Cricetulus griseus: one gene and its partners. Each later gene encodes a partner of the first gene's protein in a complex. Links are inferred from orthologs where the notes say so. Each region holds a gene or a part of one and is shown in the gene's direction. Other genes may lie near its edges. The genes, in order: Ruvbl2, Asdurf, Morf4l2, Brd8, Anp32e, Epc1 and Pfdn6.

Region 1 (3,500 bases):
CACACCAATTTTGAAGCTGTGGTCACAAAGGGGTGAGGTCATCTAAGGGTTTCCTGATGTGTCCCCTCAGGGATCTAAGGTGGGCAAACTGACCCTCAAGACTACGGAGATGGAGACCATCTATGACCTGGGCACCAAGATGATCGAGTCTCTGACCAAGGACAAGGTCCAGGCCGGGTGAGCCACTGGGACCATGAAGGTGGCTGGGGTAGTGAGAATGTTTTTTTTTCCATGACAGGGTCTCTCTGCCTGGCTGTCCTACAACTTGCTTGTAGACCAAGCTGGCCCTGAACTCACAGAGATCCTCCTGCCTCCTCCTGAATGCTGGAACTAAGGGTATGCGCCACCTCTGCCCAGCCCTTTCAGTCTTTGCTGTTGCCCCTGCAGGGACGTGATCACTATTGATAAGGCCACTGGCAAGATTTCCAAGCTGGGCCGCTCCTTCACACGCGCTCGCGACTATGATGCCATGGGCTCCCAGGTACCTGGCACTGGGATGTTTGTATATCTTTTGTGACGTCATGAGGTGCCTGTGCCCTTGCTGCCCTCACACCTGCCCTCAACCCTATAGACCAAGTTTGTGCAGTGCCCAGACGGGGAGCTGCAGAAACGCAAGGAGGTGGTGCACACTGTGTCCCTCCATGAGATTGACGTCATCAACTCCCGCACTCAGGGCTTCCTGGCCCTCTTCTCAGGTCAGCTGTCCCTCCCCAACCAGTCCCCAGCAACTGATGTACCCCCCTTCTGGTGTGTCCCTTCTTTCTCCTCCCTTGGCACAACAAACCCCCGGCTTTCCTGCCCCTTCAGTCTTTCTTCCCAGACCTGCTGTTTGCCTTCTGTTCCCACTGGAGTTTGTCCTTCCCTGCATTGCCCTCACACCCTTTGTCAGGGCCTGGCCTTCCGTCCTTTCTAAAGTGCTCCAGGTCCTAGCCCTGCTGCTGTAGCAGTAGAGCCCTCCTCTGTGGCATTTGTCTTTCTCTGTCCTTGCCCACCCCGGATCCTGGACCCAGTCTCCATCTCCACTGATGTGCCCTGTGTCTGGCAGGAGACACAGGGGAGATCAAGTCAGAAGTCCGAGAACAGATCAATGCCAAAGTGGCTGAGTGGAGGGAGGAGGGCAAGGCGGAGATCATCCCTGGGGTGAGTGGCTAGACACAAGGTGGGCGGGTATGACCTGGGGAAAGGGGTGGAGGTGAGCTTGATCTGTGCCCCAATGGCTTCTAGGTGCTGTTCATCGATGAGGTCCACATGCTAGATATTGAGAGTTTCTCCTTCCTCAACCGGGCCCTGGAGAGTGACATGGCCCCAGTCCTCATCATGGCCACCAACCGAGGCATCACCCGGTGAGCAGCCGTAGATTTCTGGGTGAAGGGGCCCTCTGGATCAGGGGATTGATGGCAGCCTGAGCATAAGTGGACTGAGTGCCATGGTTGGTTAACCTAGCACCTCCTTCTGAAGTTTGCCCTGTATGTTGCCCCCACAATCCTGGGCCACTTGTCGTTCAGAACTGTTGACCAAGACACCCAAAGATACCCCAGGAAATCACCCTGTGCTGAGCACAGGGGCATCTGTTAGACATGTCACAAACTGCTGGGATCAGGCAAGTCACTCAGACTAGTAGTTTTGATCTAAAGATGCTGTGGAGTTCTGGGCATGGTGGCACCCACTCCACCAGTAGTCCTAATACTATGTAGGCTGAAACGGGGATTTTGAGTTCTATGCTAGTCTGGGCTACATGAGACCCTTTTTTTTTTTAAAAAAAAAAAAAAAAAAAAAAAAAAAAACACAAACAAGCCACGCGGTGGTGGCAGACGCCTTTAGTCCCAGCACTGGGGAGGCAGAGGCAGGTGGATCTCTGTGAGTTGGAGACCAGCCTGGTCTACAGAGTTCCAGGACAGCCTCCAAAGCCACAGAGAAACCCTGTCCCCCGCCCAAAAACAAACAAACAAACAAACAAAAAACAGGTCTGAAGCAATGGTTCCCAGGTTAAGAGGGCTGGAGTTTGGAGACCCAGGAGGGACAGGACCCAGGGTGCCAGACTCCCGCTGGTGGTGGGTCATGAGCTTCATCAAGCATATTAGCCTGTCTCATGTTTTTCCATGGCATCCATCCCCCGTTTTTTTAAAGAGTGATGTGTATGTAGGCGGGGGGTAATGTGTAAGTGTGAGTTCAGGTGTGTGCAGAGTCCAGAACAGTATGTCAGGTTCCCTGCAGGTAAATTGACAAACAGTTATGAGCAGCTACCCATTGTGGGTACTGGGAGCCCACCTGGGGTCCTTTGTAAGAACAGTATGTGTTCTTAAGCATCTCACTTTTGTGTGTGTTTATATATATGCACACATGCATGTGGTCTGCACAGATGCCACAAGAGTGTGCCGTACCCTCTGGAACTGGAGTTATATGTGGTTATGAGAAAGGTAGAGGGTAGACAACAGGCTGTGGCCTGGCAACCTCACCTGCTCTGCTCTTCACCCCATTCCATCGCTCCCACTTAGGCCAGCAAAACTCATCGACTTGCTAAGGCCATAGGTTTAAGGTGGCAGGGTGAGAGGAGAGGCATCTTTAGACCAGTGCCTACAGAGGAGCCAGTCCTCAGGTCTCTGAGGGAGGTGGCTGCTTCTAATCCCTTTGTCACATGACGTTCACCTGCAATCCCCAGTCCCGGAAGTGCACTAGTTCTTGGACTCTAGTTTGGAGTCTGGCAGCTGTCCTGAGCCACCTTCCTGGAGAACAGCATCATTATTTGTGGCTAAACTGCCTATGACTGGAACAAATTGTTATGGGTCCCATTGCCCACCAAGAATTGCCTGTGCAGCAGGGTACAGGAGAGCCACTGGCACTACTGGGGAGGACTGTGCTTACAGGTGATAAGAGACTGTGCTCATATAGTTAGTTATTCAGCTCCCAAGTGGACTGATGGCTGTCATGGTTTCCAGGAGCATCCATTAACAATCTTCCCTGACCCCCAGGATCCGAGGCACCAGCTACCAAAGTCCCCATGGCATCCCCATTGACCTTCTAGACCGCTTGCTCATTGTGTCAACATCACCCTACAGTGAGAAGGACACCAAGCAGATTCTACGCATCCGGTGGGGCACCCCTGGCCCCTTTATAGGAACACACATTGGATGGGAGGGATTCACCTAGGCCTCTGCATCTGAGAAGACCAGTATGGCATCCTACCAGTGGGGGAGTTCTGGGGGTAGGGTTGGGAGCCCCTCATATGTGGTTCTGAGGCATGTGTCACGTGTCTTTGGGGGGATGGGTGGGGTGATGTGCCATTCTGTCTGGCTGAGGCCTGCCTGCCCACAGCTGTGAGGAGGAAGATGTGGAGATGAGTGAGGACGCCTACACAGTGCTGACCCGCATTGGGCTAGAGACCTCCCTGCGCTATGCCATCCAGCTCATCACAGCAGCCAGTCTGGTGTGCCGGAAACGAAAGGTAAGCTAGCAAGTTAGCCTGGAGGACTGAAGGGATGACCCTGGGGTAGCCTACAGAC
Region 2 (4,253 bases), on another chromosome or scaffold:
TAAGCACAGATACCAGATGCTAGCTGAAGCCGTCTGACTGGACTCAGCATCTGCCCGGGATCCCTTGCCCTCTGGGGCCAGAGTACCGCAGCGTCCATGCTTCAAGTGTGGTCAGAAAGGACACTGGGCCCGGGGTTGCCCGAACCCCCATGCACCAAGCAAGCCATGTCCTAGATGCCAGGAAGTAGGCCATTGGTCAGTGGTCTGTCCCCGTGTCCCAGGTGACAAGAGGACATCAAACACAGACGGCCTTCCAGTTGATCTCTTAGCCCTGGCTATGGATGAGGACTATGAATGACAGGGCCCAGGCTCTCTTGACCCGACCACCATCATCTCTGAAAGGGAGCCCCGGGTGGACATTAAAGTATCAGGGCGGTTTATCTCTTTCCTTTTGGACACTGGTGCCACATACTCAGTCCTAAAGGAGTTTTGGGGACCCACCTCTCTGTCTCGTCTTCCTATTGTCAGGGTAGGAGGACAGCCTTACTTACCTCAGCAGACTCCACCGCTTAGCTGTATTTTTAGGGGGATTCCCCTTACTCATTCATTTTTGGTTATACCGACTTGTCCTGTGCCTTTACTAGGGAGGGACCTTCTAGCTAAGGTAGGAGCTTCTATTTCTTTTGCTCCCCACATTCGCCCAACTCCAGACTCGCCAGCGGCTCCCCTCCTCCTCCTCCTAGCTACTCACCCTACAGGTTCCAGTACGTCATTTCCTTTACCAGCCTCTCAGGTAGACCCCAAGGTCTACCAGAACCCTTCTGTGGCTAGACACCATCCCCCCTTGTCATTCAGTTACAGGACCCCTCTAGGTACGTTGCTCAAGTTCAGTACCCACTCCCACTCCAGAGCCTTAAGGGACTTAAACCTATTATCTCTGACCTCCTAAGGAAAAAGCTACTTCGTCCTACCTCCTCCCCCTTTAACACCCCTATACTGGCAGTAAAAAAACCTAATGGGACTTTTTGTCTGGTTCAGGACCTCCGTAACTCTATGGTAGTGCCCCTCCATCCTGTGGTTCCTAACCCTTACACACTCCTCTCTACTATCCCCCCGACATCTCACTTCTCAGTTTTAGACCTTAAGGATGCCTTTTTCTCTATACCCCTCCACACCTGGTCTCAAAATATCTTTGCTTTCACCTGGACTGATCCAGATACTCATGTCTCCACTCAGCTCACCTGAACCTTTTAATAATAATAATAATAATAATAATTATTATTATTATTATTATTATTATTATTATTATTATTATTATTATACATCGGATCCGCTAGGGGACGACACAGAGCCTTCATAAACTCCGCAACCAGGCAATTGTGCCTTTAGTTCAAACCAGTTTGCGCATGCCCATAACTATGTCTAGTCTCCCACCCATACTCCCCCAACCGCCCTCTACTGCGCAGGGGTGAGTGTGCGTACTCCATTGGTCGGGATGCCGGAAGGGGCGGGTCCACTGAGAGCTCGCACGCCGGATCAGGGCTTCCTGTCCTCGGTTCCGTCCCGGCGGCTCACCGGCGTGCATCCCCGTGGGCTCACCGGCGTGCGACCCGGCGTGGAGATGCCCCGAAGTGGGGTACGAGCAGACTATCGCGCCGCGCCGGTGCCCCCCTACAAGTCGGATGCACGCACGGAGGCCCTTAACAGCAAGGTGCGGTGGGTGGCCGGGGAGCGCCTTCCGGCTGGGGTTCCCGGCGGCGCCCGGCAGCCCGGCGGCGTGCTCCTCGCTTCCGTAGTCGGTTCTTGGCACCCGCCTCAGGCTGCCCCTCCTTCCTGCAGACTTGCAGAGAGGGAGGCACAGAAGCTTGTCCCCCAAAAAGGGGGGGGGGGAGAGACACTGGCGGAGGTTTGGTGGGGCTGTCCCCTTACCGTCCCCCTTCCCTTCACGCGGATCTGTTGCTCTGTGGATCTGCTTCACCCTGTTAGCTACGCACCCGCCTGGGGGCCATCCTTGACATCCATCCCGAAAGTTTAGAAATCTGCCAGTGTCCTTCCAGACGCTGTCACTGGCTGTTCTGACTCAGGGTGTCCCCAGCTGCCTGTGTCCTCCACTGTGATCCTAAAATACATTTATCTGATGGTCTCTAAGTAGGACTCTTGCAAGTTAATCTTTGTCTGCCTCCCTCCCCTTTTCTCTTCCTTCCTTCCTTCCTTTCTTCCTTCCTTCCTTCCTTCCTTCCTTCCTTCCTTCCTTCCTTCCTTCCTCCCTCTCTCCCTCCCTCCCTTTCTTCCTTCCTTTCTTCCTTCCTGAGCTTTCGTGTCTCTCAGGCCAGGCGCAAACACTGTTGTTTGAGAGGGGAGCATGACCTTATTCTCTTGCCTGACAGCCATGATTTCAGGGTTGCACCACCTTGCTGAACTATACCATTAATCTTAACTTCCAATTACAGACAGTCTTTAAACATGTATAGTGGAGAGTATTAAACGTTTTAAATTCTACATTTTTTTTTTTCTGTCCCAAGTGACATCTTGGGTTAGTGACCTTATTCCCACTGTATCACAGTTTTCTTTGGTGTCAGCTAAAGTGAGATGTCTACCTGTCTTTCCTAAAATGAACATAAAACACCATACAAGCAGACTTGAGTCTCAAGGAAGATGAACTCGTGTGGCTTTGTAGTTCATCACTATAACTCTCACCTCTGCCATCGTGGAGACATAAGGATGCATACTCACTAGGGCGGGTGTGAGTTTTAAAAAAGACCTTGCTTCTTATTACTGTGTGTGATGGTGTGTGGTTACTTAAATTAGTTATTGCCTAGTTAGGCATTCATTTGATGGTCACAAACAAGCCTAGCTTAATGATAACAGCAGTATGCAGTCTTTGCCATGCAAACAGAATGATGCAAAGATGAAAAATGATGCTGTATCTCCCCAGGTAGGGCATCCAATACTATTTATCTGAATGTCTGGCTATCATCTAGTACATACATGAAAAGTAATTGTTGTTGGGGAAGGGGAGAAACACATTCATTTTCTTTTTTTAAAAAGTGTACAACAAAACTTTATAAAACTAATTAAAGGGTGGGTATTGATTTTGGTGAACAGTGGCTCACTTTGGTTAAGGTATAAGCCATGTGGTAACTGGCAGCTGGCAAGTCTAAGTCAGCTTTTCCTTCTCCAGCTGTTTTCCACGGAGTCCAGCTGGGTGTTGTTGCCCTGTAGAGTGTCCATTTAGACAGGTGGTATGTGACAGCCCCCAGTCCCATTATTCAGAATTTCCTCACCAAACATACTTTGAAAACGTCTACTTTAGGTTTTTCTTTATTTTAATAGATTAAAGAACAAAAAATTCTTGTGGATGAACTTTCTAACCTGAAGAAGAATCGGGTAAGTTACTGTTGGAATCCGGAATAGTATACAGTATATTAAAATCAGGAATTAGATCATTTATGCTAAAATTACAAAATTCTAACATACTAATTTAAAACTAAAGTATCCTAGTTTGTTTTTCATGTTTTTCTGCATGTATCAGTAAATCTCAAAGTTGACAGGATTCTTTCCCTATTACATTTTTAACAAAAAAAGAAACAATTACTTCCTTTTCCACAGCAAACTTTAATGCTCCAAGAACTTAACCTATTTAATTCCTTTTTTATGACATGTTCATAAATAAACTGCTGTCTCATGTGTAGTTTTACTGTTAAAAAAATATATCTTAAATGAAGAAATGATTTTGTTCTCTTTCAAGCATTTTAAAATGACTGACATTTTCAACATTTCTGATATTGTCATTTATGAAATATTAGAACTAAGGCAAATTAATACAAAACTTCTGGAGACCAGATTGGCAGAATGTATAAACGCTGTATGAGACTTGACCTGGAGCTTCTTTTAGAGTAACTGATGAATAAACAAACAGTCGTGAAAACACATGGGCATTTAACTGCAGTGGCAATCTGTAATAATCATGAATTGGCATTCTATCAAATGTCTGAAGTTTGACAGCAGCAAAGAACTATAGTATTGTGCCCGTGTGGTAATATAAAGAACCTTCATTGATCAGAAAAGGTCTCCATGTTGTTTTATAAGAGTAAATTATAACCCTGTGGCTGTGGTAGCCTTTGTCACTGACAGTAACATGACATAATGGCACATACTATGCAAACAGCCCTTTCTAGGTGGCAAGTATCGAGTGGCTTTGTATCTGTTTATATTTGATAAATTGCTGTTTTGAATATTACTGAAGCTCAAAAATAAGTGATAATAGGATTGTTGAGCATCACTATGCAAATCATGTCCTGATGTTGTAAATT
Region 3 (3,500 bases), on another chromosome or scaffold:
ATAAAAGTAAAGATTTGCTGGTGCTTACCGGAGGGTGTAGTGTGACTGATCACTTTTACTCACTGTTAGGGTTGTAAATTATTGCAGGTTTTGAAGGTAAAACAATATAGCACCATGTTAAAAAGCCTTAAATATGTTATGCCTTGATTCACTCCAGCTTGGAGTGTTGGAAAAATGAAAAAAAAATCTTTCATAGCCCAAAAGATGTATATTATAACCTTCATATGGGTACACGATTTTTTAAAGGATTTTTTTTAAAGATGAGATCCAAGATTTGATGCATTGTGCTTACCTATACTTCAATACACAAGTAGAGGCAAATATAAAAATATGTTATAAATGCTTTGGATTGTTCTAGAGCTAGCATGTAGGCATCTAGTGGTCAAGCTCTAGTGGGGCTTTACTTATATATAAACGAGGGAGAGGAAGTTGAATAAAGGTAGGTATGCTAACTAAACATTTAGTAGTGGGATTTGGGGAGCAGGGAAGAGACGCACAAAATGGAGTAAAAATTTAAGCACTGTGTGCCAATATATAATGGCATTATTTTAAAGTTCCTGGGGTGATATTAAACTTCTGGGAAAGGAGTACAGAGCATAGTAAATAGTAAGGCTGTCCTTAAGCATGTAGGCACATCAAGGAGCTTTAATCCCAGCACCTGGGAGGTAGAGTCAGTCCTGGCTTTTATTTACTCTGGTCATACACACTTTGCCCAATGTGTGGACTTTCCTATAGAAATGTCAAGGCATTGCATTTAGCATAGGAATGTGTATGAATGGTAGAATTCTTACAAAATGAGTAAGACTATAATTAATAACAAGGATGTTTCATAAATTCAGCTGTCATTCTCAGGTTTATTGGTAAGGAAGTGCTGATGATCAGTGTGGCATCCAAAATGGTTCCTGGGTGATTTCATTGTTTTAGGATTTTTTTTTTTTTAGTTTTATGGGATAGTTATAGTGAGTCCCAGGGTGGGCTTTCTGGAATTCACTCATTCTCCAAGGTCCTTTTTATCCTATTCACAATTCTACATTTTAAAAAAAGAAAAAAACCCTAGCTATAGCATTTTGTGAACATGGGAGTTTAAAAGATAATGGCTTTTCTAGCTACCATCACTACAGAACCTTTACAGGGCGTATTTTTACGTCTTAAAATAGTGATTTTCATTCCTACGTGGTTAGCTTCTGTATTTGCCAGTTCTAATGTTTGGAAGGCTGGTATTGCCTTTCACTATCTGCATGGAACTTTGTCCTTTGAATTAAAGGATATTTCCATAAATTGCATAATACCCTAAGCACCAGTGGCTTTCATTTCTAAGCAATTCTTAAGTCTGAATTTTCCTTGGCAATTCCATGACACCTAACCACATGATTGGCTAGATCTGGCTTTAATTAAAGCTGGACTGTCATCCTTTTCTCAGAGGTTTCCCTGAATATGTAAGAGTCAGGTTCTACACATTTACACACCTCTTTAAAACAAACAGGGTTGCATTGCTCATAAGAATTGTGCTTAATTTTTCCTGTGCTATCTGTTCATTTTAGGCTCCCTTTCTGTGCTACTTACCTATTTGCCTAAACATTGAACAGCTTTTAGTGTCACTATATGGGCCTCTGCTTAAATAGAGTATTCTGCAGTGGGCATATGTAATTCTTATTACTGTCTCCCTGATGAATATGTAAATGTACACAGTTTCCCGTTACAAATACCACTTCAGTGAATATCTTTGTATCTCCATTCACGTGGGGAAGTGTTTCTGTGGCGTTCTAAGTTAGCTGTTCAGCCATAACGTGGCATGCTTGTAGCAGCCTGTAACAACCAGAAATAGTTTGTCATGTATCATTTGTCTGATTTCTTCCAACTCCATGTGGCAAATCAAGATCTCTTAGAATTTTCCTTCATATGTTAAGACACATTTGTAATTTTTTTCTTGCATATTTCCACAAAAGTTCATCTTCATTTCAGATACCTACTTTCCTTTTTAGGTTGTATTCCCACTTCATCTTTCCAGACCATCCTAGGAGATCTGTCAGATTCCATCTGGGAAATTACTAGGAGTCCTTGGAAGGGAAAGAAGGAAGATTGTGTAAGTCAAGGGGGTTGTTTAATGAGTTGTGCTATATAAGAGTAGCAGGAGACTTATTTTTTTTTTAAGTTTTCCAGAATTCTCTGTGTGAAATTCCTCTGTTCTCAATGAAAAGGTTCACTGTCTCATAGTATATGCTACCAGCTCTACAGCAGTTACTGAAATCTCCATCTCTGCTCTGACCTGAGTTTGAACATTCTGTGTTCAAGTGCACACCCCAGATAGAAAAAGTCCAAAGCTAAGCATCTTTCTCCTCTAAGCAGTTTACTTGTATATATACCATCTCATTTGGTGATGATACAAATAAAATCATCCATCCTCAAAACCTGAAAGTTGTCACTGACACCTGCAGTTTCATCTTCCAGCAAGCAGTCCCTGAGATGTTTTATGCAAATAACCATCATGGGACTAATTTTGCTTTCTGGTGGTGTCAAATTAATCCTTAAAAACCTGCTTTTGATTAACTACTCAGGCTTAGTTGTTCAGAACCCAGTTTGACTCTGACCTTCAATATTGTATTGCTCTGTGTGTGTTTCTCTTCACTGCCATTAATACTAGTTAAGGCCTACCTACACTTGGATACGCAAACCTTTACTGTTAATTCTTTTTACCTGCAACCCATTAAACTACTCTTGCTTATTACTTTCAAATCCTTATTCTTGTTCCAGAGTCTTAAATTTCAGATCCACTTCCTTCTATGGTTTTGTCAAAATCTCTTTCTCTAAAATTAAATCCCTGTCTTTTAAATAGCATCAAGAAACAAATTTGTGGGCATGTCTGATGAGTTGTTGGGTGAGGCAAGGCTTGTGGGTGGTAGTAAGGATTAGAGAAAGGAGAGGATAGAAGTGCACTTATAAATGGTCCAGAAATAGGACCTGAAATCAATATCCAACAGATTTTGGCATGTGTTGTGCTCTGATGGCTCTCAAAGTCACCATAGTAAACAACCAAATAAAATACTTTATATATTACAGTGGTTGGAATAAAAACAGGGTTGAATGAGTTCCAGAAAGCAGGCTTCTCAAACTCGTGGACAACAATCTGCTGAAGAAGACAACTTTAAGAAGCCAACTCGAAGCAACATGCAGAGAAGTAAGATGAGGGGAGCTGCCTCAGGAAAGAAGTCGGCTGGTTCACAGCCAAAGAATCTTGAACCAGCCCTCCCAGGAAGATGGGGCGGTCGCTCTGCTGAGAACCCCCCTTCTGGTTCTGCGCGGAAGACCAGGAAGAACAAGCAGAAGATTCCTGGCAACGGAGATGGTGGCAGTACCAGCGAAGTGCCCCAGCCCCCCCGGAAGAAACGGGCACGGGCTGACCCCACTGTGGAGAGTGAGGAAGCATTCAAGAATAGAATGGAAGTGAAAGTGAAGATTCCCGAAGAGCTAAAACCATGGCTGGTGGAGGACTGGGACTTGGT
Region 4 (3,500 bases), on another chromosome or scaffold:
CTTAGCTTAGTCTTAAGTAAGTAGCTTTTTTTTTTTTTTTTTTTTTCCTTCCTTTAAAAAAGATCCTGGGCTTTATTCTTTGTCCAGGTTCTAAATTACTTTATCTTACTTAGTCAGTTAAGTAGAGGGTAGTATAAGTGATAGAGGGCTCAGCACCTCCCCAAAAAAGTGTGAGGCCATTTCTAGAGCTAACCTAAAAACAGATCTCATTTAATAATGCTTTACTAGGTAGCTTTGCTTGCATTTGTTGACTAATGCATACTGTGTCTAAGGATGCTCCAGGTGAGGAGGAGGAAGAAGATGGAGTCAGTGAAGTAGCTAGCCTAGAGGAGCCTAAGGAAGAGGATCAAGGAGAAGGCTATTTGTCTGAAATGGATAATGAACCCCCTGTGAGCGAAAGTGATGATGGCTTTAGTATACATAATGCCACTCTACAGTCACACACACTGGCAGACTCTATCCCAAGCAGCCCTGCCTCTTCACAGTTGTGAGTATTGTGATTCTTTTTCTTAATTTTTAGACATGATCTCATGGGCTGGTGTTCAATTCATACTGCATAGCTGAGGGTGATCTTGAACTCCTAATTCCCTTGCTTTTGTCTCCCAAGTGCTGGGATTACAGACAGATTATAGGAGTGAACAACTGTAGGGGTGTTGGGGGTGGGGGCTGGTGTTTTGGGGCATTGAACTTTTGAATGCTAGGTAAGCATTTTACCATAGAGCCATACCCTAGCCTTAATTTTACTTGTTATTTTCCCTTTCTCGGCTTGAAATAATTAGTTGAAGAGAAATAGGACTTTTTTTTTTTTTTCTTTTAATGCTTAGTAGCGATCCTGTGTCTATTTCAGCTCTGTGTGTAGTGAAGATCAAGAAGCAATTCAGGCTCAGAAAATATGGAAGAAAGCCATTATGCTTGTATGGAGGGCTGCAGCAAATCATAGGTAAGCAGGCATTACCAACTCCTCATTATTGGCTTAGGAAATTATTTGAGTAAGCTATGAGACTGCTTATGTTGGTGTTGGTTCTAAGTACCTTCTGCTGCATAGAATAAATTTTCTCCTTTTGCTTCTGGAGAATAAATCAATGATAAACCTATTTTTGGACAGATATGCTAATGTGTTCCTGCAACCTGTTACAGATGACATAGCACCTGGCTACCATAGCATTGTGCAGAGGTAAGTCATAGTCTAACTAACACACCTGACTTATAATTTGTGTAGACTTAAGTGAATATTTGCTTTAGGTAGTAAATTTAAAGCAAGGATGTTTTGTTTTGAGACAGGGTCTCACTATATATAGCCCTGGTTGGCCTGGAACTCTATAGACCAAGCTAGCCTCAAAGTCACAGAGAATGAGTAATCCCTGCCACTGCCTACCCCATGCTGAGATTGTAAATGCTAGGGTTAGTGTTAAACTGACCATTGCAGTGGCTAGTTAGCATTAATAGTCTAAAAGAATTAACACCTTTCATTACTTTTCTTGATGCCTGTTATTCAGAGTGGCTTATGGGGGGATTTGAGTACATGCTTTGGGATAGTGGGTTGGCATTTAGATCTTGGTAGCAAATACTGAAGGTATATGTGAACAGGACTATATAGTGATACTGTATTCAGAAATTCAAGTGACTCCTCCTCCCCCCACAGCCAATTAGCTCTGTTTATATATATTTTTTTTAGACCTATGGATTTGTCAACAATTAAGAAAAACATTGAAAATGGACTGATCCGAAGCACAGCCGAGTTTCAGCGTGACATTATGCTGATGTTTCAGAATGCTGTTATGTATAATAGCTCAGACCATGATGTGTATCACATGGCAGTAGAGATGCAGAGAGATGTCCTGGAACAGATCCAGGTACATTGAGGCTCATTTTGTTTTCAGTAGGGACGAAGAATTCACTTTTGGTTGTAATAGGCATCAGGAACACAGATAAGTAATTTTTTTTTTCTTTTTTGCTTATGAAGTTGTATAGGTTTTATCAGTTTGATAGAAGAATTATGATAGAAATTAAAATGAATTGAGTTTTTGTTTTTTGCTGCTGCTGTTTAGCTCTTGTTGGTAGGGATCTAAACTGTTGTTCCACTTGAGCTGCCCAAATACCTTACCACTAAGCTACATCATGTCCCCACTGTACCCAATCTATTCAATTTGGGAATCAAGCCCAGGGAGAGATTCATGTATGTTAGACAGGCACTGTTCCATCTAAGCTATATCCCTAGCCCCTTCTGAAGTAGTGTTTTTGTTTTTTGTTTGTTTGAATCTTTTGTTTTTCAAGACAGGGTTTCTCTGGCTGGCCTGGAGCTCAATTTGTAGACCTCATGTTGGCCTCAAACTCACAGAGATCCACCTGCCTCTGCCTCCTGAGTGCTGGGACTAAAGTTGTACGCCACCATGCTCAGCTGCCCTTCTGAAGTTTTAAAATTCAGTTTTTATTTTGGTTTGGTTTTTGGTTTTTCGAGACAGGGTTTCTCTATGGCTTTGGAGGCTGTCCTGGAACTAGCTCTTGTAGACCAGGCTGGTCTCAAATTCACAGAGATCTGCCTGCCTCTCTCTCCTGAGTGCTGGAATTAAAGGCGTGTGCCACCACTGCCCAGCCTGAAAATCAGTTTTTAAGGGGTTAATGTTCTTTTTTAATTACGTAAAATATCCTGGCACATGTACTCAACCAAAAGAGTGTGTAATCCGTGTAATCCCCGTTTATCACAAAAGTCTGCTTTATTCTTATAGTTGTCTCACCACACACCCTTTATGATGCTGACTTTGTTAAGTCTGCCAAGTAACTTTAATTGCTAAAAGGTCTTTGGTTTATTTTATTTAAAAGGTACTTTTTGCTTCTAAATTCTTAAGGAATAGCTAGAATTAAGCCTTTAAAGTAAACCAAGAAGTATTGAATAGGAGAGTTGTATATAAGTTATAGTCATAAAACCTGCAGTATAATGGTTCTTTCCTACTGGATTAGATCTTTGTGGCCAAACTTTTTTCTTCTCCTTATAGCAATTCTTGGCCACACAGTTGATTATGCAAACATCTGAGTCTGGAATCAGTGCTAAAAGTCTTCGGGGGAGAGATTCTACCCGAAAACAAGATGCTTCAGAGAAGGTAAGGAGACAAAAATGAAGTCTAAAGCATCCAGAGAGCCTTCAGTTACTCTAATATTGCTAACCTTCTGCAAGCCAGTGGCATGCAAATAGATGTTAGAATGGGGGTAGCTTACTTCTGTCTAACTGTTGAAGAAATCTGCTGTGACTGAGAGGTCCAGTTAATGGGAGAGAGTTTGAGCTGAGTGAGTGAATTATTAATCCTCTAGGAGAGTGTTGTCTGGTGGGGGATAAAGCAGCTCACAGCATTTGATGACTAGCTCCTATGGGGTCCTATGGCAGGTGGCTGTGGGATCTTTCTCCTCTTTTTCTCAAGTTGGACATTTTTGTCTTTGTGCTGTGTGTGTGGTTCTTTTGTCTCTATCCTGAGTTTTGGGGTACCTGTGACCGAGTTTCTGTGGAA
Region 5 (3,500 bases), on another chromosome or scaffold:
TTTTTTTTTAAAGATTTTTATTTATTTATTACGTATACAGTCTTGTGCCTGCAGGCCAGCAGAGGGCACCAGATCTCATTCAAGGTGGTTGTGAGCCACCATGTGGTTGCCGGGAACTGAACTCAGGACCTCTGGAAGAGCAGTCAGTCAGTGCTCTTAACCGCTGAGCCATCTCTCCAGCCCGGTTTTTTCTTTTTGAGACGTAACTCCTGCTATTCTGGAACTCACTAGCTAGCCTTGAGATCTATCTCCTGTGCCTCTGGGTGCTGGGATTAAAGTTGTGCCCAGCTATTTGCTCATCTTTAAAATGTTTTTTAAAGATGGAGATGAAGATGAGGAGGATGAGGAAGAAGATGAAGCTGGGCCACCTGAAGGATATGACGAGGAGGAGGATGAGGAGGAGGAGGAGGATGAGGACGAAGCCGGTTCAGAAGTGGGAGAGGGAGAAGAGGAGGTGGGCCTTTCATACTTAATGAAAGAAGAAATTCAGGTGAATGGAAACTTGATATTTGTACACAAGGCTGAGTACTGTAAAGTGAGTTGTGCGTTATTTCCTAACTTGTGGGTAAGCATCTGTCCGTCTTCTCTTCCAGCTTCCTACTTACTGGACGCTCTATAGTGTATCCAGACAGCCATGAACACTTGGTGGCTTTTTTAGTTTTTAGTTCAAGGACAGTTTTATTGAAAAAACAAAACAAGAAACTCCCAGGGTAGGCAAGCTCTAAGTCCCAGCAGCTCCCTGGAGGAGAATGGAGGGGAGAAGAGAAAAAAAACCAAAGCTGGCATTGAGGTCAGACACACTTTGGACAAGCAGTCACGTGGCAGGGAAGGGGGCTTCAGAGAAGGAGTATGGAGACCCCAGTTATCAGAAAAAGTATTGGTTTTGGCCAGCATCCAAAGAGAGAAAGAAAAAGGCAAAGTTGCCTCTTTCTGACTTGGGTGGGCTTCAGATGGGCAGACTCAGCCAGATGTCAAGGTGGCTCCATTAGAACTGTCATTGCTTGTTGCTTTTTATCTCAGATAATTGATTCTGCCCCCAGTGCCATGGGATGGTGAAAACATTTTATGAATCTGAGTCTATAAAGTACCTAGTTCCTTGTTGGCACATTATAGACACTGCAGAGTCCTGGAATAATGTGTTCCCTCCAATTATCTCTTCTTGCTTTATACTTCTGCATCTCCCAGTAGCTTTCCTCCTCCTTTTTTTTTTTTCCAAGAAAGGGTTTCTGTGTGTAGCCCGCCGTCATGGAACAAGCTGTGTAGCCCAGGCTGGATCTCAATGACAGCTTAGAGCTATCCTCTACAGTGCGCCTTTATAGTATGCCGATGATAAGACCAATACTTGCCTTCTTGATAGATGCCACAAAGCATGCATCATTATCTGTAGTTTTTCTTAGGTAGTGATGGTTAGGTAGATAATATCTGATGAATGGTTCTTATTTTCCTGATACTATTTTTAAATTTGAAATGAATTACAATTTGTTATTATACAATGCTCTCCCTGCATGTATCCCTGCAGGCCAGAAGAGGGCACCAGATCTCATTACAGATGGTTGTGAGTCACCCTGTGGTTTCTGGGAATTGAACTCAGGACCTCTGAAAGAGCAGCCAGTGCTCTTAACCTCTGAGCCATCTCTCCAGCCCTAAAAATTGCACTTTGAAGTGTATGAATGTGTGGGGATGGACTTATTTTACTCTGTACCCCAGGCTGGCCTTAGACTCATACACTGCATGCTGCCATTGAATTTGTGGCGGTCCTCTGACTTCTGCCTGCTGAGTGCTGGGATCACACAGACATTCACCACTCCTGTTTTAAAAGTTACTTTCAACCAACTGTGGGATAACTTACATTTAGGTATATTATTCTACTGAATGTTTGGGAATATTAACTCAAAATGACATGGCCAAGCATTAATCAGAAATCTCTGAAATATATATAGCATTAAGTTTGTGTGGGGCCAGGAAGCATTTTCATTCTAGATAGGATAGTTTGGGTGTTCAAAAATGAAGTCTTAGCTTAGCTAGGTATGGGGTAGGTCATCACCATAACCCCAGCAGAGGGTGAGGCAAGGAGTTTAATGATAGCATAGGCTACCTAGTATGCTCTAGGATAGCCTAGGCTACAGAGGAACCTTGTCTCAGAACAAACAAACCAATAAACCCAAAAGTTCTTGTTTTTAGGAGCTAAGTGCCAGGTAAGCATCAGACTTCTGGTAATCAAAAATAAATAAGAAGGAAATGGCATATTTGATTATGCATTTTATTTTCCTTAAAAGTTATTTATTTTTATTATGTATGTGTGGGTATTTTGCCTACATGCCTGTCTGTGTACCGCCTGTGTGAATGGTGACTACGAGGCCCAAAGAGGGCATAGTATCCCTTGGAGCTGGAATTACAGCTATTTGTGAACCAAGTGCTGGAAGCAGTACCTAGGTCCTCTTCACTATTAATCGGTGAGCTATCTCTACAGGTGGTTATTTTTCCCTTTTCAAGATGGGGTCTTATTGTGTAGCTCAGGCTGTCTTTGAACTCATGGTCCTCCTGCCTAAGCTTCATAAGTGCTGGGATTACAGGCTTGTGCCATCACACCTGGTTTCTTGCTTATTTATTTATTTATTTATTTTCCAGACAGGGTTTCTCTGTAGCTATGGAACCAGTCCTGGAACTCACTTTGTAGACCAGGCGGGCCTCAAACTCACAGAGATCCTCCTGCCTCTGCCTCCCGAATGCTGGGATTAAAGGCGTGCGGCACCACCGCACTGATAAAGATTTATTTATGATGTGTACAGTGTTCTGTCTGCATGTATGCCTGCAGGCCAGAAGAGGGCACCAGGTCTCATTACTGGTGGTTGTGAGCCACCATATGGTTGCTGGTTATTGAACAGCTAGTGCTCTTAACCTTTGAGCCATTTCTCCTCCAGCCCATCTTATTTTTAAGAGAAAGAGAGAGAGAGGGAGGGAGAGAGAGAGAGAGAGAGAGAGAGAGAGAGAGAGAGAGAGAGAGAGAGAGAGAGAGTGCACATGTTGTATGCATGCATGCATGCATGTTTCTGTTTTTGTGAGTGTTCATGTTTGTGAGTATGGGTCGTGACATGCATGGGGAGATCAGAGGACAGCTTTAGATATCAGCAGGAATCAGGACTACAGGTGTACATTGCTGAACCCAGCTTTATGTGGGTTCTGGGGAATCCAATCTCTGTATGATCACATTCTGAGTCATCTGCATGAAATAAGACACAAAGTTGAGTAGTAGTGGTGCACCACTGGAGAGATGGCTCAGCCATTAAAGGCTAGGCTCATAACCAAAAATTTTTCTTACTTGTGTATATCTTTCTTTCCTTCTTACTCTGCGGTGGTGGCTGGCCCTGACGTTTTCTTATTCTCTTGCTGCTGCTTTTTTTCTCTTTCAGTTTATACTCCCTGCCTGCCAGTCCTGCCTATCCTCCTTTCTGCATCTCTGTTGGCTGTTCAGCTCTTTATTAGACCGTCAGGTGTTTTAG
Region 6 (2,629 bases), on another chromosome or scaffold:
CTTTTCTTTTGTTTTCTCCTTCCAGGGTTTTGTTTCTAAGACTTTGGATTCTGCTAGTGCGCAGTTTGCTGCTTCTGCTTTGATGACGTCAGAACAGCTGATGGGATTCAAGATGAAGGATGATGTGGTGCTTGGGATTGGGGTGAATGGCGTCCTTCCAGCCTCAGGTGAGGATAGAGACATCTCCGTGGCCCTGTGGTTTTGCTGTGCATACATATTTGTGCACATTGTGGCACAGACACAGAATGCAGTGTTTACATGCTCCCTTTCTCTCCCCAGGAGTATACAAGGGCTTACACCTCAGTAGCACTACACCAACAGCGCTTGTGCATACGAGTCCGTCGACAGCAGGTTCAACTTTGTTACAGCCTTCAAATATCACACAGACTTCGGGTTCCCACAGTGCACTGAGTCATCAAGTAACTGCTGCCAATTCTGCAACAACTCAGGTTCTGTTTGGGAACAACATTCGATTAACTGTACCTTCATCAGTCCCCACTGTAAACTCTATCGCCCCAATAAATGCACGACATATACCTAGGACTTTAAGTGCTGTTCCGTCATCTGCCTTAAAGCTGGCTGCCGCGGCAAACTGTCAAGTTTCCAAGGTCCCCTCATCATCCTCTGTAGATTCAGTTCCAAGGTGAGTAGTTATTCTAAGTTTAAAATGTTAGGAAAGAGCCCATTCCTTAGAGTGGGATGCCATGCACAGTGGCAGTAGGACCACAATATAATCCCCAGTACATGAGTTAGCTTGTTGGAGCCCACTCCCCCAACCTATTGTGCTGGTCTATGTTCACTCCTCATGGGAACCCTTACCCGAGAGGAGGAGTGGACTGGGGGTGGGTTAGGGAGGCCGTCGAGGGCAGGGAGGTGGGAGGGAGAACTGTGATTGGAATGCAAAATGAAATTAAAAAAATTTTTTTTTTAGATGGAAAAAAAAAAATGTTTGAAAAGTAAGACATCTAACTTCAGCCTTCTGGAGTGGCTGTCCCCGAGTTTTCTCTGCTTTTCCTTCCATGTATTCAAAATGTGTAGATATAAGAAACCCTCGTTTATTTAAAAACTGAGCATGTGGATGCTGTAATTCTGTCAGTTGAATTCAGTTTTAGTTGAGAATGAGCCAGTCCACTGAGATAGTGATAGTTATGTGACTTGGGCCTCATACATATGTTTTGTCAGCATGTATGTCTGTGTCAGGGAGTCAGATCTTGGAGTTACAGAAAGTTGCTAGCTGCCATGTGGGTGCTTGGAATTGAACCCTATCTGATCCTCTGGAAGAGAGCAGTCAGTGCTCTTAACTCCCAGGGTCTCCCTCTCTTAATGCAGCAATAACTTACTTAGAATGTTCTCACTCTTCCCCAGCCTTTGGGTGGAAGGTGTTCTCTTTAGGATGTTTGTGTTGCTGGTTTTGTCTGTAGTTTACTGTGTGAGCAGAATTGGTAAACCTTCCTGCAAGTTACTCTTAATAGTGGAAATGGCATCCTTGCCTGGTGACATTTAACTGAGGCATTGTTTCCCTGGTCACTCGCCTTCTTGAATTTCAGTAGACAGTTTAGCATTTTGTTAAGGCTGTATCACACTTTCAATATCAACTATAATTAAAACCCCACTGCTGCAAGGTACTAGGAGAAAAAGAAACAAAGACCTGCATTTTTCAGATTAGCAAGAAATAGCCTAAAATATGAAAGCTAATGTTAAGAGACGGTGCCGGTGAAAACTATTCTGGATGTATCTTAAAGCACTGTTATGTTGTCCAGTTCATTATATAGACAATGACTATCATTTGAAAACAAAGAGAAATCTTTTTACACCACAGTAATTCTGAGTATGTTCTAGAAAATATCTAATTCCACCTGGAGTAATAATTGATTGGATGAAGAAAAGGGGCATTTCTAGAAGTTGGAGTTGGCAAACGGAAATATAACGCTGGGGAAATGCAAGTGTTTAGTGGTTAACAAGTACTCGGTTTTCCTAGGGACTTAGGAAGCTTAATAGAAAAGGAATGACAGGAGGAGGGCAGACCACACAAGCAACTTGTGTTGGACCAACATTAAGATTTCTTTAGCCAAGAGTTGGGGAGTTGCAGGGAAAGCAATTTTATAGCAGCTTATTGGTAGCCTTTACTTTACACACCCACAGGTCCCTCTCTGCTCAGTACCAGTATGTATTGTTGGTCTAGTCATGGCTAATGGGTGGACTGTGGTTCCCCTTCTTCCTCCATCACCAACTGTCATGACTTTCATTGCTGTAGAATTGTACAAATATGGGAACATTTGTGGTATATGGGACTTCTCAGATCCCTGTCTCTGTTTAAAAGCAGGAAACAAATTCCTAGAGGTCAGTGGACTTTCCAAGGATCCCTGCAGACAACCCTAGTGTTCTGATTACTAGTCCTGTATCTGACTTCCTTTGTGAGGCTCATTAGGACCCAGATTTAAAGCCCTGACATCAATCAGTTGGCTCCGTGGGTAAAGGTGCTTGCCCTCAAGTCTGACAACCTGAGTTTGATTCCCTGCATCCACCTGGTAGAGGGAGAGAACCAAACCGGGCAAGATATTCCTCTGACCTCCACACTGGCGCACATAGGCACATACACAATTATATAAAGGGTTAGAGAGGGTTTGCA
Region 7 (3,489 bases), on another chromosome or scaffold:
CCCCCCCCCGCGGCTCACCTTGGCAGCACTTGCAATGTCCACAGCCTCCCTCCCCCCCCGCGGCTCACCTTGGCAGCACTTGCAATGTCCACAGCCCCCACGATGTCCGTCTGCAGTATCTTTGCTGTGTCTTCCCCATCTTCTCCCTCCAGGAACCTGAAAGGCAGTCAGGACGACTGAAGTGACGCTCCGCTGCATGCAGCCGGCTACAAACATAAAACCCGCAAAAATCAAAGCCCCAGAAAGGCAGGGGCCGCTCACCCAGGTTCCTCGGTTAGCAGCAGCTCTGCGCGGGCAGCTCTGACGCTCGCCTCTTCCTCCTGCGCTTCAGCCGTCTCAAGTTTGCTCCGGGTTTTCGGCTTCGAATGCGGGAGCTACGGCATGGTTGCCAAGGTTGGCGCACCGAGCGAGCATCCGTGAGGTGCCAGCAAGGCCGCCAGCAGACAAGGCGCCACCCACCTCCTCACCCAGCCTCCAGTCCCTGCCTCCCCACGGTCCCCGCGGCCTCACGGTTCTGGACTTGTCAATTCGGCAGAACTTCCGGGCGCCCTCCACGGGGGCGGGGGCGGGTCCCGGGAACGGGTCCTGGGCCTAGCGAGGGGAAGGAGACGGGCAGACTCGATGGGCCCGGTTCCTCTGGTCCTCAGAGGCGCGGGGCCACCCTGTCAGCCCCAGGCTCACCCCAGACAGGGTCCGCTGCGGCCTCCTCTTCGGGTCTGGGGCGTCCTTCGGGGCCCGCGGCTTCTGGCGGAGCCGAGACTTCTTGGCGGGGTGCGCGCTCTTTGACCTCGGGGGTCGCGGCTCCCGAGTCCTCGCCTTCTTCCGGGGCGGCCCCGGAGAGGCGCCGGCTGCGGCGGGGGTGGCCTCCTCCTCCCAGTACCGCCGCGGCTTCTAGGGGCACAGGAGGAGGCAAGGGCTCGCACCCGCCGGACCCGGAGCCCGAGCCCGATCGGAAGCCCCGAGCCCGAGCCCGATCGGAAGCCCCGAGCCCGAGGGCGGCGTTCGCCTCCACCCAAGCCGCTACCTTCCTCTTGGCCTGGGGCTTGTCCTCCTTGGGTGGGCCACCCCTGCCCGGCTTCGGAGCTGTCTCCATCGCGGCTGTGACCGACGCCAAACAACGATCCACGTGCGAAACTGCCCTCGGCAGCCCCACGGCCCTCTCAGAAACTTCCGGGCGTCCCACGGCCTTCACCCAATCACCGCCGGACGGGAGTCTGAAGCCGCCGGCGCCATCTTGAGTGAGGGCACGCCTGTGCCAGACTGAGCGGAGAGGCTCGCCCGAGGACCAAATGAGGACTAAAAGGCAAGTCTGGGCCCCGAATCCCGGTAGCGACGAGTTCCTTTTTTTCTGCCTTGCCTAATAAAACCCCTCGGGTGCAGTCTTTTCGGTAGGACGAGTTTCCCACAGGTCAGAACGCAGCTTCCGGCGCCGTCTCTGTCCCGGCATGCCTTGTCTACTTCCGGGTGCGTTTAGACAGTGGGCATAACGTGAGGAGGTTGGGGGTCTGGCTTGCGGGAGGGTTTGGGGTTCTGCTTTCGCCCCCCGCTTCCCAGGGGTGTCTCCTGGACGAGGAAGAGCTGCGGAGCCTCGAGGAGCTGCCGGCGGACGCGCAGGGCAGAGAGGGGGGCGCGGGTGCCTTCCTCTGCTCGCTCGAGTCCCCGCGAGCGCCCCGCCCCGCCCCGGAGGCTCGCCCTCCTCACACCGCCCCGGAGGCTCGCCCTCCTCACACCGCCCCGGAGGCTCGCCCTCCTCACCGCCCCGGAGGCTCGCCCTCCTCACCGCCCCGCCCCGCCATGGCCGAGCTGATCCAGAAGAAGCTGCAGGGAGAAGTGGAGAAATACCAGCAGCTGCAGAAGGGTAAGAGAGAGAGCGGAGGCGGCGTGGCCTTGCCCCGTCCGCCCTCAGCTCAGGCACACCCCACGAGACGTCGTGCTCCCTCGGGGGCCCTGCGGGCCGCCCCTGGCGTCGGGGGCCCTGCTCGTCCCCACCACCGACCGACCCAGCCTCTCCGCTGCAGACCCGGTGACGTCTCGAGCCCGTGCTGGGTGCGGTTCTCGGCCCGTCTGATGCCTTTAACCATGCGTTTCCTCTCACCACCTCAGACTTGAGCAAATCCATGTCAGGGAGGCAGAAGCTCGAGGCACAGCTAACAGAAAATAACATCGTGAAGGAGGTGAGGACCTGGGGCGCCGGGGCCGAGAGGAACGCGGCCGGGCACGGTTAGCTCATCAGCCGTCCGTCCCATCCCCTCTCCAGGAACTGGCCTTGCTGGATGGATCCAACGTGGTCTTCAAGCTCCTGGGGCCCGTGCTTGTCAAACAGGAGCTAGGGGAGGCTCGGGCCACGGTGGGGAAGAGGCTGGACTACATCACCGCCGAAATGTGAGTGCCTACCCCGTGCTGGGTAGCTCCCCATAGCGCCCCGCTCCCCTGGAACTCCCTGTGTAGACCAGGCTGGCCTCAGGGATGGGCTTAAAGGCGCCCCCGCTTAAGCCTTTCTTCCACGTTACACGAGTGTGGGGGGTGGGGGGACATGTGTCCGTGGCACACATGTGAAGTCAGAGGACGGCCTGCGGCAGCCTGCTCCTTCCTACCACGTGGGTTCTGGAGACTGAAGTGTCAGCCTCGGAGGAGAACGGTCCAACCCACTGATCCATCTCACCAGCCCTCAGTGTGCCACCCCCATCCCCCAAACCTCGGAATTCCCATCAGTCCCCCAATGCCGCGCAACAGTGAGCCCCCACTGATCTCTCTTCTGCTTGTCTCCCCTTTCCCTCCTCAGTAAGCGCTACGAATCGCAGCTGCGGGACCTTGAGAGGCAGTCAGAGCAACAGAGGGAAACCCTTGCTCAGCTGCAGCAGGAGTTCCAGCGAGCCCAGGCAGCAAAGGCTCCTGGGAAGGCCTGACCCCATGGAAGGGGGAGAGGAGGGAGGGCTGAGTCAGCTCCAGGGTCTACACTAGAATAGCCAATAAAATGTAAACAAAACCAGTGCCTTGTACACACTCTTTTTCCCTGAGATAGAGCTCTTGACACTGGAATCTCTGGCCGTGTTTCAGTGGTGGTTTTCCTGGTGCTGAGAACTAAAATCCGGGTCTTCTTGCCTATGTGCCTTCTTTTGAGTCTGAAATGTCTCAAGCTGTTTCTTGCCTGTTCATATAACCCTTTATCTTCCCTTATGTTGGCTGGTGCAACCCTGAGATGGGAAATATAACCTTAGGATGCAATGTAGTGTGTTGTTAAGTGTCAGTTTAGCCATAGAACCCAGTTCTCTAGCCTGAGAGCCCAGGATATGATGTGGTCACCCAAGAGCACTTGTCCCCAAAGGGCCCTAGATCATTAGCTTGTCTTCACCGCTGTCTTAGCATTGGTTTGAATCTAACTTGTTTGTTTTGGTTTGTTTGAGACAGGGTTTCTCTGTGTAGCTCTGGCTATCGTAGATCTCGCTCGCTCTGTAGACTAGGCTGGCCTCAAATTCAGAGATCCTCCTG

Evidence for each region.
Region 2: Ruvbl2 (region 1) and Asdurf share a complex: the UniProt entries of both Homo sapiens proteins name them as parts of the PAQosome complex. The link is inferred for Cricetulus griseus from reciprocal best matches to the Homo sapiens genes RUVBL2 and ASDURF.
Region 3: Ruvbl2 (region 1) and Morf4l2 share a complex: the UniProt entries of both Homo sapiens proteins name them as parts of the nuA4 histone acetyltransferase complex. The link is inferred for Cricetulus griseus from reciprocal best matches to the Homo sapiens genes RUVBL2 and MORF4L2.
Region 4: Ruvbl2 (region 1) and Brd8 share a complex: the UniProt entries of both Homo sapiens proteins name them as parts of the nuA4-related complex. The link is inferred for Cricetulus griseus from reciprocal best matches to the Homo sapiens genes RUVBL2 and BRD8.
Region 5: Ruvbl2 (region 1) and Anp32e share a complex: the UniProt entries of both Homo sapiens proteins name them as parts of the SWR1-like complex. The link is inferred for Cricetulus griseus from reciprocal best matches to the Homo sapiens genes RUVBL2 and ANP32E.
Region 6: Ruvbl2 (region 1) and Epc1 share a complex: the UniProt entries of both Homo sapiens proteins name them as parts of the nuA4-related complex. The link is inferred for Cricetulus griseus from reciprocal best matches to the Homo sapiens genes RUVBL2 and EPC1.
Region 7: Ruvbl2 (region 1) and Pfdn6 share a complex: the UniProt entries of both Homo sapiens proteins name them as parts of the PAQosome complex. The link is inferred for Cricetulus griseus from reciprocal best matches to the Homo sapiens genes RUVBL2 and PFDN6.

What each region holds. Positions count from the first base shown.
Region 1 is NC_048599.1:154,327,824-154,331,323, reverse strand, and holds part of Ruvbl2 (ruvB-like 2), read left to right. Parts: intron 1-70; coding exon 71-177; intron 178-387; coding exon 388-481; intron 482-571; coding exon 572-695; intron 696-1,045; coding exon 1,046-1,140; intron 1,141-1,224; coding exon 1,225-1,343; intron 1,344-2,969; coding exon 2,970-3,089; intron 3,090-3,312; coding exon 3,313-3,442; intron 3,443-3,500. UniProt on the Homo sapiens protein: Possesses single-stranded DNA-stimulated ATPase and ATP-dependent DNA helicase (5' to 3') activity; hexamerization is thought to be critical for ATP hydrolysis and adjacent subunits in the ring-like structure contribute to the ATPase activity.
Region 2 is NC_048595.1:402,525,059-402,529,311, forward strand, and holds the start of Asdurf (ASNSD1 upstream open reading frame protein), read left to right. Parts: upstream 1-1,453; 5' UTR 1,454-1,561; coding exon 1,562-1,651; intron 1,652-3,273; coding exon 3,274-3,327; intron 3,328-4,253.
Region 3 is NC_048604.1:43,664,635-43,668,134, forward strand, and holds part of Morf4l2 (mortality factor 4-like protein 2), read left to right. Parts: intron 1-1,982; 5' UTR 1,983-2,083; intron 2,084-3,057; 5' UTR 3,058-3,081; coding exon 3,082-3,500. UniProt on the Homo sapiens protein: Component of the NuA4 histone acetyltransferase complex which is involved in transcriptional activation of select genes principally by acetylation of nucleosomal histone H4 and H2A.
Region 4 is NC_048595.1:202,872,978-202,876,477, forward strand, and holds part of Brd8 (bromodomain-containing protein 8), read left to right. Parts: intron 1-272; coding exon 273-487; intron 488-847; coding exon 848-940; intron 941-1,105; coding exon 1,106-1,174; intron 1,175-1,675; coding exon 1,676-1,853; intron 1,854-1,880; coding exon of another isoform or gene 1,881-1,932; exon of another isoform or gene 1,933-2,336; intron 2,337-2,993; coding exon 2,994-3,098; intron 3,099-3,500. UniProt on the Homo sapiens protein: May act as a coactivator during transcriptional activation by hormone-activated nuclear receptors (NR). Isoform 2 stimulates transcriptional activation by AR/DHTR, ESR1/NR3A1, RXRA/NR2B1 and THRB/ERBA2.
Region 5 is NW_023276806.1:60,578,861-60,582,360, reverse strand, and holds part of Anp32e (acidic leucine-rich nuclear phosphoprotein 32 family member E), read left to right. Parts: intron 1-320; coding exon 321-490; intron 491-3,500. UniProt on the Homo sapiens protein: Histone chaperone that specifically mediates the genome-wide removal of histone H2A.Z/H2AZ1 from the nucleosome: removes H2A.Z/H2AZ1 from its normal sites of deposition, especially from enhancer and insulator regions.
Region 6 is NC_048596.1:208,120,077-208,122,705, forward strand, and holds part of Epc1 (enhancer of polycomb homolog 1), read left to right. Parts: intron 1-25; coding exon 26-167; intron 168-279; coding exon 280-643; intron 644-2,629. UniProt on the Homo sapiens protein: Component of the NuA4 histone acetyltransferase (HAT) complex, a multiprotein complex involved in transcriptional activation of select genes principally by acetylation of nucleosomal histones H4 and H2A.
Region 7 is NW_023276806.1:232,074,232-232,077,720, forward strand, and holds Pfdn6 (prefoldin subunit 6), read left to right. Parts: upstream 1-1,484; 5' UTR 1,485-1,794; coding exon 1,795-1,858; intron 1,859-2,103; coding exon 2,104-2,174; intron 2,175-2,257; coding exon 2,258-2,382; intron 2,383-2,782; coding exon 2,783-2,906; 3' UTR 2,907-2,989; downstream 2,990-3,489. Other genes in the region: Wdr46 (WD repeat-containing protein 46), read right to left, coding at 69-156, 262-374, 511-591, 682-891, 1,025-1,093. UniProt on the Homo sapiens protein: Binds specifically to cytosolic chaperonin (c-CPN) and transfers target proteins to it. Binds to nascent polypeptide chain and promotes folding in an environment in which there are many competing pathways for nonnative proteins.